Styela clava: one gene and its partners. The protein of the gene in region 1 purifies or fractionates together with the protein of each later gene. This does not show direct contact. Links are inferred from orthologs where the notes say so. Each region holds a gene or a part of one and is shown on either strand. Other genes may lie near its edges.

Region 1 (3,760 bases):
GAAAATATTCAAAGAGCTTCAACCTTTTTAGATTTGTTTGTTCGAATTCATGTTTATTATTAAGAATGTTATCTGCATCATAGGGATACAAATCTTCAATGCATTTTGAAATGATGTAATCTTATGCCAAGATTGATAAATTTCCTTGATCAATTTCCTTTATTTATATCTAAGCAAATATTTCCACTATGTTTCTACTATAATTTATCAGTAATAGTTAAACTGCAAGTAAACCATTAATTATGTGCCAAATTTGATAAACAATGCTGCTCAGATAAATACTCTTATTCTGGTATAATTGCATCTCATATTCTATCTTTACTAGCGGAATTGTTCTTTACTAATTTTCAAAACAATAATAGGGCGTGGACTGAATGAATTGTATTACCTTTTGAATAATGCCATTTTATAAGGTCATATCCGATCATTTCCTGATGGGTTTCTTCACTGCGTGTGAATATTTCTGGCTTTAGAAATGCAGCGGTTCCTTAGACATAATGGTTTAATAATGTTATGAATATGTCACTTTTTTATGATTTTGGGGAATTATTACTGCAGTTTATCAAACAATGTAAACTTCTTTTCTTAAATAGACCATTTGTTTAAGCACTGTTCATTGAATTGAATTCATTATATTTTCTACATTCTTATAATACAAACTAGCTAGCATTGAAAAAAATATATCATGACCAAAATGTGTTCAAATTCCATTGTCTATGAATGCGAAATTGCCTTACTCGTTTCCCCTGTCATTTCCGATATTTATTATTTGTGTTAACAGTGCATGAAACTGATTTATAATATCTGTTGTACATATTTGTATATAAATGGTCATGTCATATGAGACATCGGCCCGTGGTGGAAGCCAAAAGCGAGAAAAATCAAACACAGGACACAGTAGCGGTGGTGGGAAACAGACGACTCATAAAATTCCACAGGTTCGTGCATTTGTAATAATTTTCATTGATTTATATTTACACTTTTGTCATTGTCTCAGATTATTGCTTTGGGAAAGAATTTAATACTGATCCTTCTTAAGCAATGGTTCGTAACCTTTTTTTGAAGCGACCCAAATTAAAAAAAAATCGTGTGACCCAAGGATATACTCAAATACTAAATGTGTAGTACTTTTATGACTAAAATTGATTGAATAAAATAAAACAATCCGTTTTATATAACAAATATCTCTAAGAATTACTTAAAAAAAAAGAGAAAACTTCGTGTTTGCCATCAGTGAGTTCAATGAACTGCTTTTACTTAGCAAAATGAATATTTCAAATAAAGTTTTTACGCAGTGATACTGTCCACACATACAAGTACGATTGAGCGACACTTCAATACCAAATAGGAAATAAACATGGAATTTACTATAAAATAAAATAGTAACTTTCAAGTTTTTATTGAATAAAGCAAGCGACCCAAGAAATTATTTAGACGATCCATAGATTGAGAAATACTGCTCTAATATATTGAAAATTAAATTTGATAATCAAAATTAATTATCATATTAAATACATTTTTATAGTTTCTCACATTTTTGTTTATGCCCTTGGTATATGAGTGATTCTACGATTAATTTATTTGCTATGTTATTGTTATTTCTCTTTTTATGCCACAGGCCACAGCTGAACAGATGAGAATCGCACAATTAGTCAACGACCAACCGAAGGATGACGACATATTATTATCTAAAAATGTTTCACAGGTAGGCAGAAATATTAAGTAAATAAATAAAAAATAGATATTGCATTCAGGAATTTCCAAATTCAAGCTTGACCATATAAGAATAGGATTTGAATTTTTGTTATTACAGGATCCGTTTTATGTGAACAATGGGAAATTTTTATTGCTATCGAATTTTTCTCGATCATCTATGATCTATTTCTTTTCAGATTGTTGAAGTCACAGGTACCAGTGAAGAAAATGCATTGTTAGCTTTATATGATTCCAGTAATGATCCAATTAGAGCCATTGAATTAATTTTGGAAAGAGGCTCAAAGGGGGAGGTATAGTGCCTAGTTTATCTTAATTGCTCAAATTTCCTTATATTTTTTCCTGTGGCTGTCCACCGATCTCATATTTTTAAAGTAGTGCGGCCCATACATAACTCGAAGTTGAATATATTGATAAATAATTCTTGATTCGTGGACATCTTATCAATATAATTGCAATGATTACATTACATCAGTTATTGGTTGAACTATAAAATAGCATTTTATACTACGCATACCAAAAATAAATTAATATAAATTTACGACTCTCGAAAAAATCTCTCTCCGTCTATTTTAAAAGGTTAATGTTAAATCAATTTATTATGATATATAAATGTATACAGCAATAGTTAAAATTTGTTTTCATCAATTTTGCTCACCATGTAAGTGTGACGTAAAAAGTTACATTTTATGAACAATATTTACAGTTTTACAAAATCAAATGTGGAAAGCAATTAAGCTCTTGCTAAAACTAAATTTATTCGCAATCTCAACAAATTCCTTGAACTCGTTTTTAGCTAAAATGTCAAAACTTGGTTTTAGTTTGTTTGTGGCAGCATCAAGCGGGCCAGATAGAATTACCTAACAGGCAGGAATTGGCCTGCGGGTCATAGTTCGCCTATGTCAGTGTTAACCTATTAAATTTAAATTCATATCAAATCACTTTATAATTATTAATTAGCGAATATGTTAATACGTAACAATCTGGTTTTCACGTATCGTTATAGACGATTCAATTAGTAGTATTTATAATGTGAAATATTTAAAACAAATTTTCGTTCATTTTAACAGGACAGTGGATGGGAAACCGCGGGTCGGAGAAAAAACAGAGGTGGATCGAGTATGACAAGAGGACAAGACACATTTGATGACGAAACGAAAGATGATAAAACAAACGAAAACAGAAGAGAATGGGATGGCGGAGAATCGAGAGGAAGAGGTAGAGGGAACAGACGCGGCGGAAGAGGACGAGGAGGTACCTAATCCATCTAATTTATTCTGCCTTGGGTGAGGTGGGGCCGGGAGGTATAGGATCTAAACCACCTCGCAATCACAATATGGTCATCCGTATTGTAATACTCTAAATCTAAATGCTATTTTTATCAGGACGGAACCAAGACAGGACCAGAACCACAGATGATAATGACAAAGAAAATGAAAATTTTCAAGACAGAGGTCAGAGGAGAGGAAGAGGTCGGGGAAGATCTGGGACAAACAGAGGACGTGGGGGCAGAGGTCGAGGGGGTGGAGCACCAAGACATTATAAGTACAATTCCTTCTAAAGTTTTTTTCATCTTGACCGAAATTGATATTCTCAAAAAAATTTTTCATTTCTCGTTTCAGAAATCAGACATTTGGTTCAAAATATGGTGATGATTCAAATGCAAAAGACTCACTTACAGAACCTGTTGACATGTGGAGAGGAACAAGTAACGAATGTTGGGATATAGAGGTAATCATTATTTTTCTCTGATTCTAGACGCTTCTGTCAAATTTATTCGACTGATTTTGACTGAAAAGAAACAAATCCAGCCTATTGTTTTCTTTTACTGTATTTATAAAATGTACAACGCCTTCGTTCGATACGAGACCTATCGAAAAGCACATACTGATTTGATATTTAGGGTGCAATTAGGAAAAGACTGTAATTATTTTGGATGGTCAAATATTCATTATTTAGCATGATTTTAACACGTAAATCATGCCCCAAATTTGTTGTTTTCTTTTTGATTTGTCATTATTGATTTTATTTTCTAATAAATTTCATT
Region 2 (3,760 bases), on another chromosome or scaffold:
GTCAGAAATGCAATTAGAAGCCCATTTTTTCACGCATGGCTGCGTATGCCCTAGTCTCGACGCATCAGAAACGATGTTCAAGGCTTGAAATCCGTGGTCGCACACTGGTCGTTCGGTCGCAAATACGTCTTCAGAGTGTCGTACTTTGGTGGTTTGTATAGCCTTAACCCCTGGTCGTAGAAAGTTAATTCGAAGTTCAGCGTGTAGAATAAATGCCAATGCACCTACGGTGAAAAAATTAACGGGTTAGAAATATTGGTTTTTGTTTTATAGCGGTTTGAATGAAATCGTCCGCAGACTGGCTACACCACCCTATGGTACCGATTGTATTTTGTAAGCTAATGACATTCAAAATATGGCTTTTCATAAATGTTTCTGAACTTAGTAAAATCATTTTATATAGAGCATTGATCGGATGGTTTTGTATACAAACTCTATTTTTATTTCCCCCAAACCTGAGACTTACTGACTTAGTCCTGTAGTCTGTTAGCGCTCTTTACATAATTTTTATTCCAAATGAAGATGCATGGATTGAAAAAAACTGTAAATTCAGAATACTAATATTTTCATGAACGCTTGAATATTAATTAGATTTCAAATATGTTCCAATTTACATAATGCCAATTTGCATAATGTGTAGCGATATGAGACCTACCTTTAAATTTTCATGAAGCGAATTTAAACCAAAACTCGAATTTATAAAATGCACTTCTAACAACTTTTTTGCGATACCTTTATTTTTAATTTGGCTTTAACTCTGCCATTGCATTGCACAAAATGAAATTTTGCACTAGTTATCATTTGTCAAATAGAATACAAATTTGATCAGATATTCAGCTCGATTATAAGGAACCGAAACGTAGTTAATAAGTGCACTTACTTATGTACAGTGTTCCTATTTTACTAAATTCGATGAAGGTTTTTGCATTTGTTTTCTTGATTCAATAATTCCTATATTTCATTAAATTTTTATTTATAACTCTCAACTGAACCTTAGCAAACAAAGCTATGTGTGGAAATCAAAAGTTACTGGTCACCAGTTAAATGATCATTTAAAATTTGAAAAATCTTGAGATGCAATCAAATCAATGTGTTAGATATTTTTACCTGCTGATTTCACTTTATCCATATTTAGGCAACAACATTTAATGTTTGTAATTTATATTGAAGACTGAAGTCATACCCTAATCTATTTTCTTTTTAATTTGAAAATAGGAACAAAACAAAAAAAATTTGGTGCACATACACTAATTTTGCTTCAAACTCTGAAACTTTCATCAAGAAATGGTAAGAATGGATCATCCAAGTCCTTTCCAGGTAGGGAGGGAATTTGTGCGCCAATATTATTCCCTTCTGAACAAGGCACCAGAAATACTACACAGGTTCTATGGAGTGAATTCGTCTTATGTGCATGGAAGCCGGTATTGCAATGGAGAGCCAGAAGAAGAGGTTGTTGGACAGATGGCAATTCATAAGAAGATCACTTCATTGCAATTCAAGGAATGCCATACTAAAGTATACCAAGTCGACGCTCATGCTACCATCAGCAACGGGGTTGTGGTACAAGTGATTGGTGAGCTTTCCAACAATCGCAAGCCTCTGCGTAGGTTTATGCAGACCTTTGTTTTGGCACCCCAGGGGGATAACCCATACAAGTTTTATGTTCATAATGATATATTTCGTTATGAAGATGAGGTGTATCAAGATGAAGGACGTCAGGAACATCTTGAGGAAGAGCAAGAGTTGGATGAGGAGGTAAATGTACAACAACCACCACCCCAACCAACACAATTTGACAACCATATTGGCTCTCAAAATCAGGCTGCTCAAATTATCAATAATGATCTGGAACCTCGTTTGGATTCTCAACCTGTCACTTCTGATGATCAAGATTCTCCTGCTTTGGCAATTTCTCCCCCAAATCATCCTGAATCTGAAACCGAATCTGACCACGCTCAAGATACTGAACCTGTCGACATTGAACCTCGTAACGAATCTCCAGTCTATCCCATCTCAAATGAGAATGAAGAACCTCAATTGGAAGAAACTGCAGAAAAAGATATACCAGAACCAACAGACAACATGAATTCTGTACCACATAAGGAACCTGAACCTGTTCAACCGTACTCTTGGGCTGCTCTGGCATCGAAAAATACACCAGCACAGCACAACATTCAGCAAGGCACCGTTGTTAAAGTTAACCAATCGAATGATGGCCCGTCCATGGATCAGCAAAAGCAACAAGTTCGTAGTTCTAGACCTCCGGTGACTTCACAGCGAGATGGTTCGGGTGAAGGCATGGGAGATCCGGGCGGACGACGTCAAAGTCGTTATCCCGATAACCAGCAAATCTTTGTTGGAAATCTTCCTCTGGAAATTACGGAATCCGATCTGCGTGAACACTTTTCTGAATATGGTGAAATTGTTGAAATTCGAATTAATCATTCGAATACGAGCAATCCAAGCTTTGGTTTCATAATCTTTGAAGATCACAAAGCTGTGGAGGAAGTTCTACGTTTGATGCCGACTACATTCAAGAATAATAAGAGAATTAACATCGAAGAAAAGAAGCAGAGAGCGATGTCACGCGATGGTGGACGAAGACCCGGTCCAGGTCGGTGGGAATCTGGTCGAGATAATAACCGCGGTGGTCGTTTACAACAACGTGGTCCACCACGAAGAGACTGGGGTGGGTCAAGGGAAGGTCAACGTCCTAATAATTTCCCTGGTCGACGGTGATCATTTGCTAGCTATTTACTAAAATGTATACAATTCAGTCACAGTTTTCTTATAAAGGATAGCTGTTTAAAATACTTGGACTTTATCACTATTTCCTTTTTGCCACCAGTTGAAATTGTGCTAATACCATCTGTTCTGGTGTATTTATTATTATTGTTCAGACTGTAAATTCAGCACCTCTTTCAAGCGAGACATTGTATCAAGCGTCTAGCAATCTTTTCTACCTAATTTCCCCGTGATAACTATTATGAGTTCCGGCAAGGGAATGCCAAAAGTGCAATCAGTTGTCAGACCCAATATTTTGATTTGTAGATTACTTATCTACACTCTTGCGATTTGAATACCGACTGGGCGACTCTTGGCATTTTCTTTCCTTCCTGTCTTTCAGTTTCATTTGTTTTCAGTGTCCTTCGATATCTGTATAAAATGTTTGATGTCCATTTGACTTTAATTCATATACAAATCGACGCCGTTCATGTATCGTGTTCTCTAATATTACTTTGTAATTAATGCAGATAATTCATTTCATTGGCTTGTTTATTGTGATAGATTTTGGTTTTCTAATTTCGGCAAAGTTAGAAATGTTTCTGTCTAAATGACATGCTGTTTTTCGATTTTGATTTTTCTCTGCATTTTTCCTAGTTCAAATATTCGATACAATTGACCTGAAATCATTACATGAATTCTGTTTTTGCCTTATTTAAAGTACGTTTCAGCGAAAACTGTATAAGAACTTGGAATACATAAATTTTGTTAAAACAATTCATTGTATAACCATACCAAGTCTGCATATGAATTGGTAAGTGAAATAAAGGTGTTTTTTCCCAAAGTTTTCTTAGGATATAAATATTTGATTATAACTGTCATACATGCTTTGATGCTTGAGCATTGTCAGAATTACTTAGCCCAATGGTTCATAATTTGACTTACGGTATTTTCTTATTGTTATTGAATTAGAGTTAGGAATTTTTCTGACTACGCAAGGTCTTACAATGTGCGCTTTTCGCATTTTTATCATTAA
Region 3 (3,760 bases), on another chromosome or scaffold:
GCCGCTCAAGCGAATCACTGTATTGCGACAGAAAACAACGGTCGAATTCTCTCTCGTTATCTCGCTGTATGCACATAATAACGAGTACCGAATGAATGTAAATGGGACGGGCGATACCGAAGTTTCGCCACCTTCACGTGTATATAGCCAACGTTCGTTTGTGTTTTGAGTTCAAGCATATTGGGGAGGAGAATAAAGAAATATGATAGTAATAATAATTAAGGTATGTAGGAGTCGAGACGACAAAGTTTTCGTGGTTGTTATCAGGACGTTTTGATAGGTCTAGTTAGCTTAGTTAAGATCCTTGCTGTAAGCGAATACCGTAATGTTTTCGGTTGATAATTCTATATCGTACCAGCATGCCGGTATTATATCGCTAAATTAATAGTAGTTTGATGTTTTTTATGTTGCCTATATACAAATATCTCTATTCTAGTACCACCAATATTTTCGATTTTTTGTAATAAGAAAAAAAAGTACCAGAATGAAAAGTTGCGGTAGATAAGTTGTGATCAAGAGCAACGGCACGAGTTTTGGAAAATGTGAAATCATATTTCCAGTTTTCCTAACTCCGAAAAAGGAAGTTGGCAAATTAAAATCAGATTTTTAATAAATGTTTTTTTTCAATTGTAAGAGAAGGTTTTTCATCCCATCGATATACAGATATAATTCGTCAGCTAATAATGAACTAATCGTTGATGGAATATTGTTCTATTTTGAAGAAAACATTGAGACTGATCCTTTGTGCAGTTGTGTGTATATTTGCATATGTTATGAGATAATTCGTTTCAGTGCTAATAATCCTTATATAACCAGTTCGTTGCTATTGGCAATTAGAACATATCAATATTGTACTAATTAAGAAATTGATTATGGCAAGGTTGAAAAAAATAATTATCTGAACCATTGAATATCATTGAATTCCATTAAATAATACAAACTAAGAAACCTGTATCAATCTGAAAAAAATATTTATTTTTCTGTATAGCCTACTGAAAACTCCCATCACTGTATTACATAACCGATATTCAATAATTGAATTAGTAGCGATGGATAACCGAACTGTAGAAGTAAGGGGTTCCAACGGTGCATATTATAAAGCATTTTTATCTGATGTGGGCCCTACTGGCATACTTGTTACATTTGAGAACAATTGGCAACCTGAAAAGATTATTCCATTCCAAGAAATTCGCTTGGCATATGATGTTGAAAGTGGAATCGAGTTCGTTGAAGGTCAAGAGGCCGAAGTTCATTCAAGAGCAAATGATAATGAACCTTGTGGTTGGTGGCATTGTCGGATTAAAATGAGCAAGGGAGAATTTTTCGTTATTGAATACCAATCGTGTGATCCAAAGTATACTGAAATTGTCACGAAAGAACGTCTCAGACCTATCAATAGCAACCAACCATTGTCAGGTAATGATATCAGGAAAGTGTCCCTGGATGTACCTGAAGATCTGCAAGACTTTTGTACAAAATACATAGATGCTCATAAGGAATTTGAACGAAGTATTGAAGCGATTTTAGTTCGGTACAACTCCACAAAGAAACAACTTGATGTTATCGTGTCAAATTCATCAGCTCAGCGAAGAGCTACGATTGTGTCAGATCTACATTTCCGAAGTCTTCGTACCAAATTACAAATGCTCCAAAGAGTCGAAGAAGCTTCGAAACAATTGGAAATAACTCAGCAGCGTGCAGAATCGTGTGTGGAAAAATTCACAGTTGGTGAAGATTTAGTTGGGCTAGCCATCGGTACAGGAGGAGCCAATATCATGGCTGCTAGAAAAATTTCTGGTGTTTTAGATATCGTTTTAGATGAGGATACACACACATTTTCAGTGTATGGTGAAACCAAAGAAGCTGTGCAACAAGCAAGAGAAATGTTGGAATTTTGTGAAGAAGAAGTTATCGTTCCAAGACCGTATGTAGGAAAAGTGATTGGCAAAAAGGGAGCTACAATCCAAGAAATGATTGACAAATCTGGTGTTATCCGAGTCCGAGTTGTTGGGGACGATGAGAATACAGAAAAGGAAATTGAACCTGGAATGGTACCATTTCGATTTATCGGAATACGAGAAAATATCAGAAATGCAAGAGCGCTTTTGGAATACCATGTTGCATACCTAAGGGACCTTGACCATTTACGAATGGAGCAATTGAGTATTAATCAGCGTATACGACAGCTTGATGGAGGGTCGAGTGCACTTCCTTCTCAGAGTGAAAGTGACATGGAGGGAAGTTACAGAAGACCCAGGTATAACCCAGGCCGGGGTAGAGGACGCAGACGCTCTGGTAGCGATAGAGAGGGAGCCACTACTACAAATTCCGAAAAGTCAATTTCAGACACAGGATCAGAAACAGGTGGAGAATCAATCACAGATAGTAAAGGGCAAATCAAATCAAAGGAACTGTTAAATAATGGATATTCAAAGTGAGTATAATATTGCATTGGAATTTGTAGCATTTACGTTAATTGGCTATTCTGTTAATTGAATAACTGCCGTGCGCATATAAACTTACAGATATTTACGGCTTCGTCCACCATCAAGTTCATGCTTTCGAAAAACAAATACCTAACTAATCCCACACCCGACATGGAATGGTAACCGGATGAGAGGCCGTGGTCCGCCATAGGGTTAAGCCATCTTATTGTCTTCACTCTTCCCTGGGATAAATATGTAAATCCTATCCTAACTGAAGGATATATTCCAAAAGGAGCTTTATTTTCATGAGCGTATAGCAAATTCAAGCCACACACAGTTATGCTTGGAATCAATTGATATAAGGACTATTTCCTTGAACAAGATTTTTTCTAACCATATACTTTTTCAGTCGAGGAAAGCCGCAATCACAGAAACCGTTTCATAAGAAAGAAACATCCAATCCAAATCACAATCGCTTTGAAGCACTAAATGGAGCTGGAGAAGGCCAAGATAAGGTTGAAAATGTAAGTTGTGCATATTATTTTCAAACAGTTTAGAACTCTAGATGTGTGCCATGGAATTTAATTTGAATTGATCATGCATTTATTCATAAATCAGCAACACTTTGAAATTTCTGACAAATTAAGTGTTTCCAACAGCCAGTGGAGATATTTACAATCGACTTCATTTTCCATTAAAGAAAATTTTTGGCTCCAATGCTGAACTCCAAGAAAATCCAATTCTGATGACAAACTTTGGCTCATGCACATCTTTTTCAATAAACTGTCAAGAATTCTTAATATTGATTTTAATTTGATTATTTTGTCACCATTGAAAATTTGCAACTCCCACTTCACAGCCCTGAACTTTTGTACTCATTTTTTGATGTCCCTGTAGTACTTTTATTATTCATTTCTTCATCAGGGGGTAGCGCCAGCACAAAATGGCACAGAAAGTGGACCACAAACCAACCCTAACACTGGAGGCAAGAAGAGACGAAATAGAAACCGGAATAAAAAGGGAAAATTGGACAACCTCACCAATGGCACAATGAATGGTGATGCCGCACAAAGTACCGGAAACAATCCTAAAAAAGAAGATAGTGCTACAACAGTCACAGCTAAATAAACAGACCTATATGTCTTCGGCCATGCGAGGCTTACGTTACAACTTTAACAAACTCCTAACTCAGCCTTGACCAAAAATACTAGTAGATGTGCATGTTGAACATATTTAATGCTGGTGTTTGCCTATTGGATCTTCGTGACACGCAAGTCAACATTTAGTTTTCAGTGTTTGATGTTCATATTTTTCTCGAACAAAACAAAATTCTT

Evidence for each region.
Region 2: the proteins of uncharacterized protein LOC120333750 (region 1) and ras GTPase-activating protein-binding protein 1-like purify together in Drosophila melanogaster (affinity purification with western blotting; 3 studies listed by BioGRID, with this or other methods). This does not show direct contact. The link is inferred for Styela clava from reciprocal best matches to the Drosophila melanogaster genes lig and rin.
Region 3: the proteins of uncharacterized protein LOC120333750 (region 1) and RNA-binding protein fxr1-B-like purify together in Drosophila melanogaster (affinity purification with western blotting; 3 studies listed by BioGRID, with this or other methods). This does not show direct contact. The link is inferred for Styela clava from reciprocal best matches to the Drosophila melanogaster genes lig and Fmr1.

The regions. Positions count from the first base shown.
Region 1 is NC_135264.1:6,149,242-6,153,001, reverse strand, and holds the start of uncharacterized protein LOC120333750, read left to right. Parts: upstream 1-768; 5' UTR 769-827; coding exon 828-938; intron 939-1,618; coding exon 1,619-1,705; intron 1,706-1,892; coding exon 1,893-2,006; intron 2,007-2,783; coding exon 2,784-2,967; intron 2,968-3,098; coding exon 3,099-3,258; intron 3,259-3,335; coding exon 3,336-3,444; intron 3,445-3,760. UniProt on the Drosophila melanogaster protein: Acts in the nervous system to mediate the control of copulatory organs during courtship.
Region 2 is NC_135252.1:4,648,380-4,652,139, reverse strand, and holds the start of ras GTPase-activating protein-binding protein 1-like, read left to right. Parts: upstream 1-1,196; 5' UTR 1,197-1,284; coding exon 1,285-2,739; 3' UTR 2,740-3,760.
Region 3 is NC_135256.1:13,109,074-13,112,833, forward strand, and holds the start of RNA-binding protein fxr1-B-like, read left to right. Parts: upstream 1-888; 5' UTR 889-1,049; coding exon 1,050-2,434; intron 2,435-2,835; coding exon 2,836-2,950; intron 2,951-3,350; coding exon 3,351-3,554; 3' UTR 3,555-3,760. UniProt on the Drosophila melanogaster protein: Polyribosome-associated RNA-binding protein that plays a role in neuronal development and synaptic plasticity through the regulation of protein synthesis of mRNAs.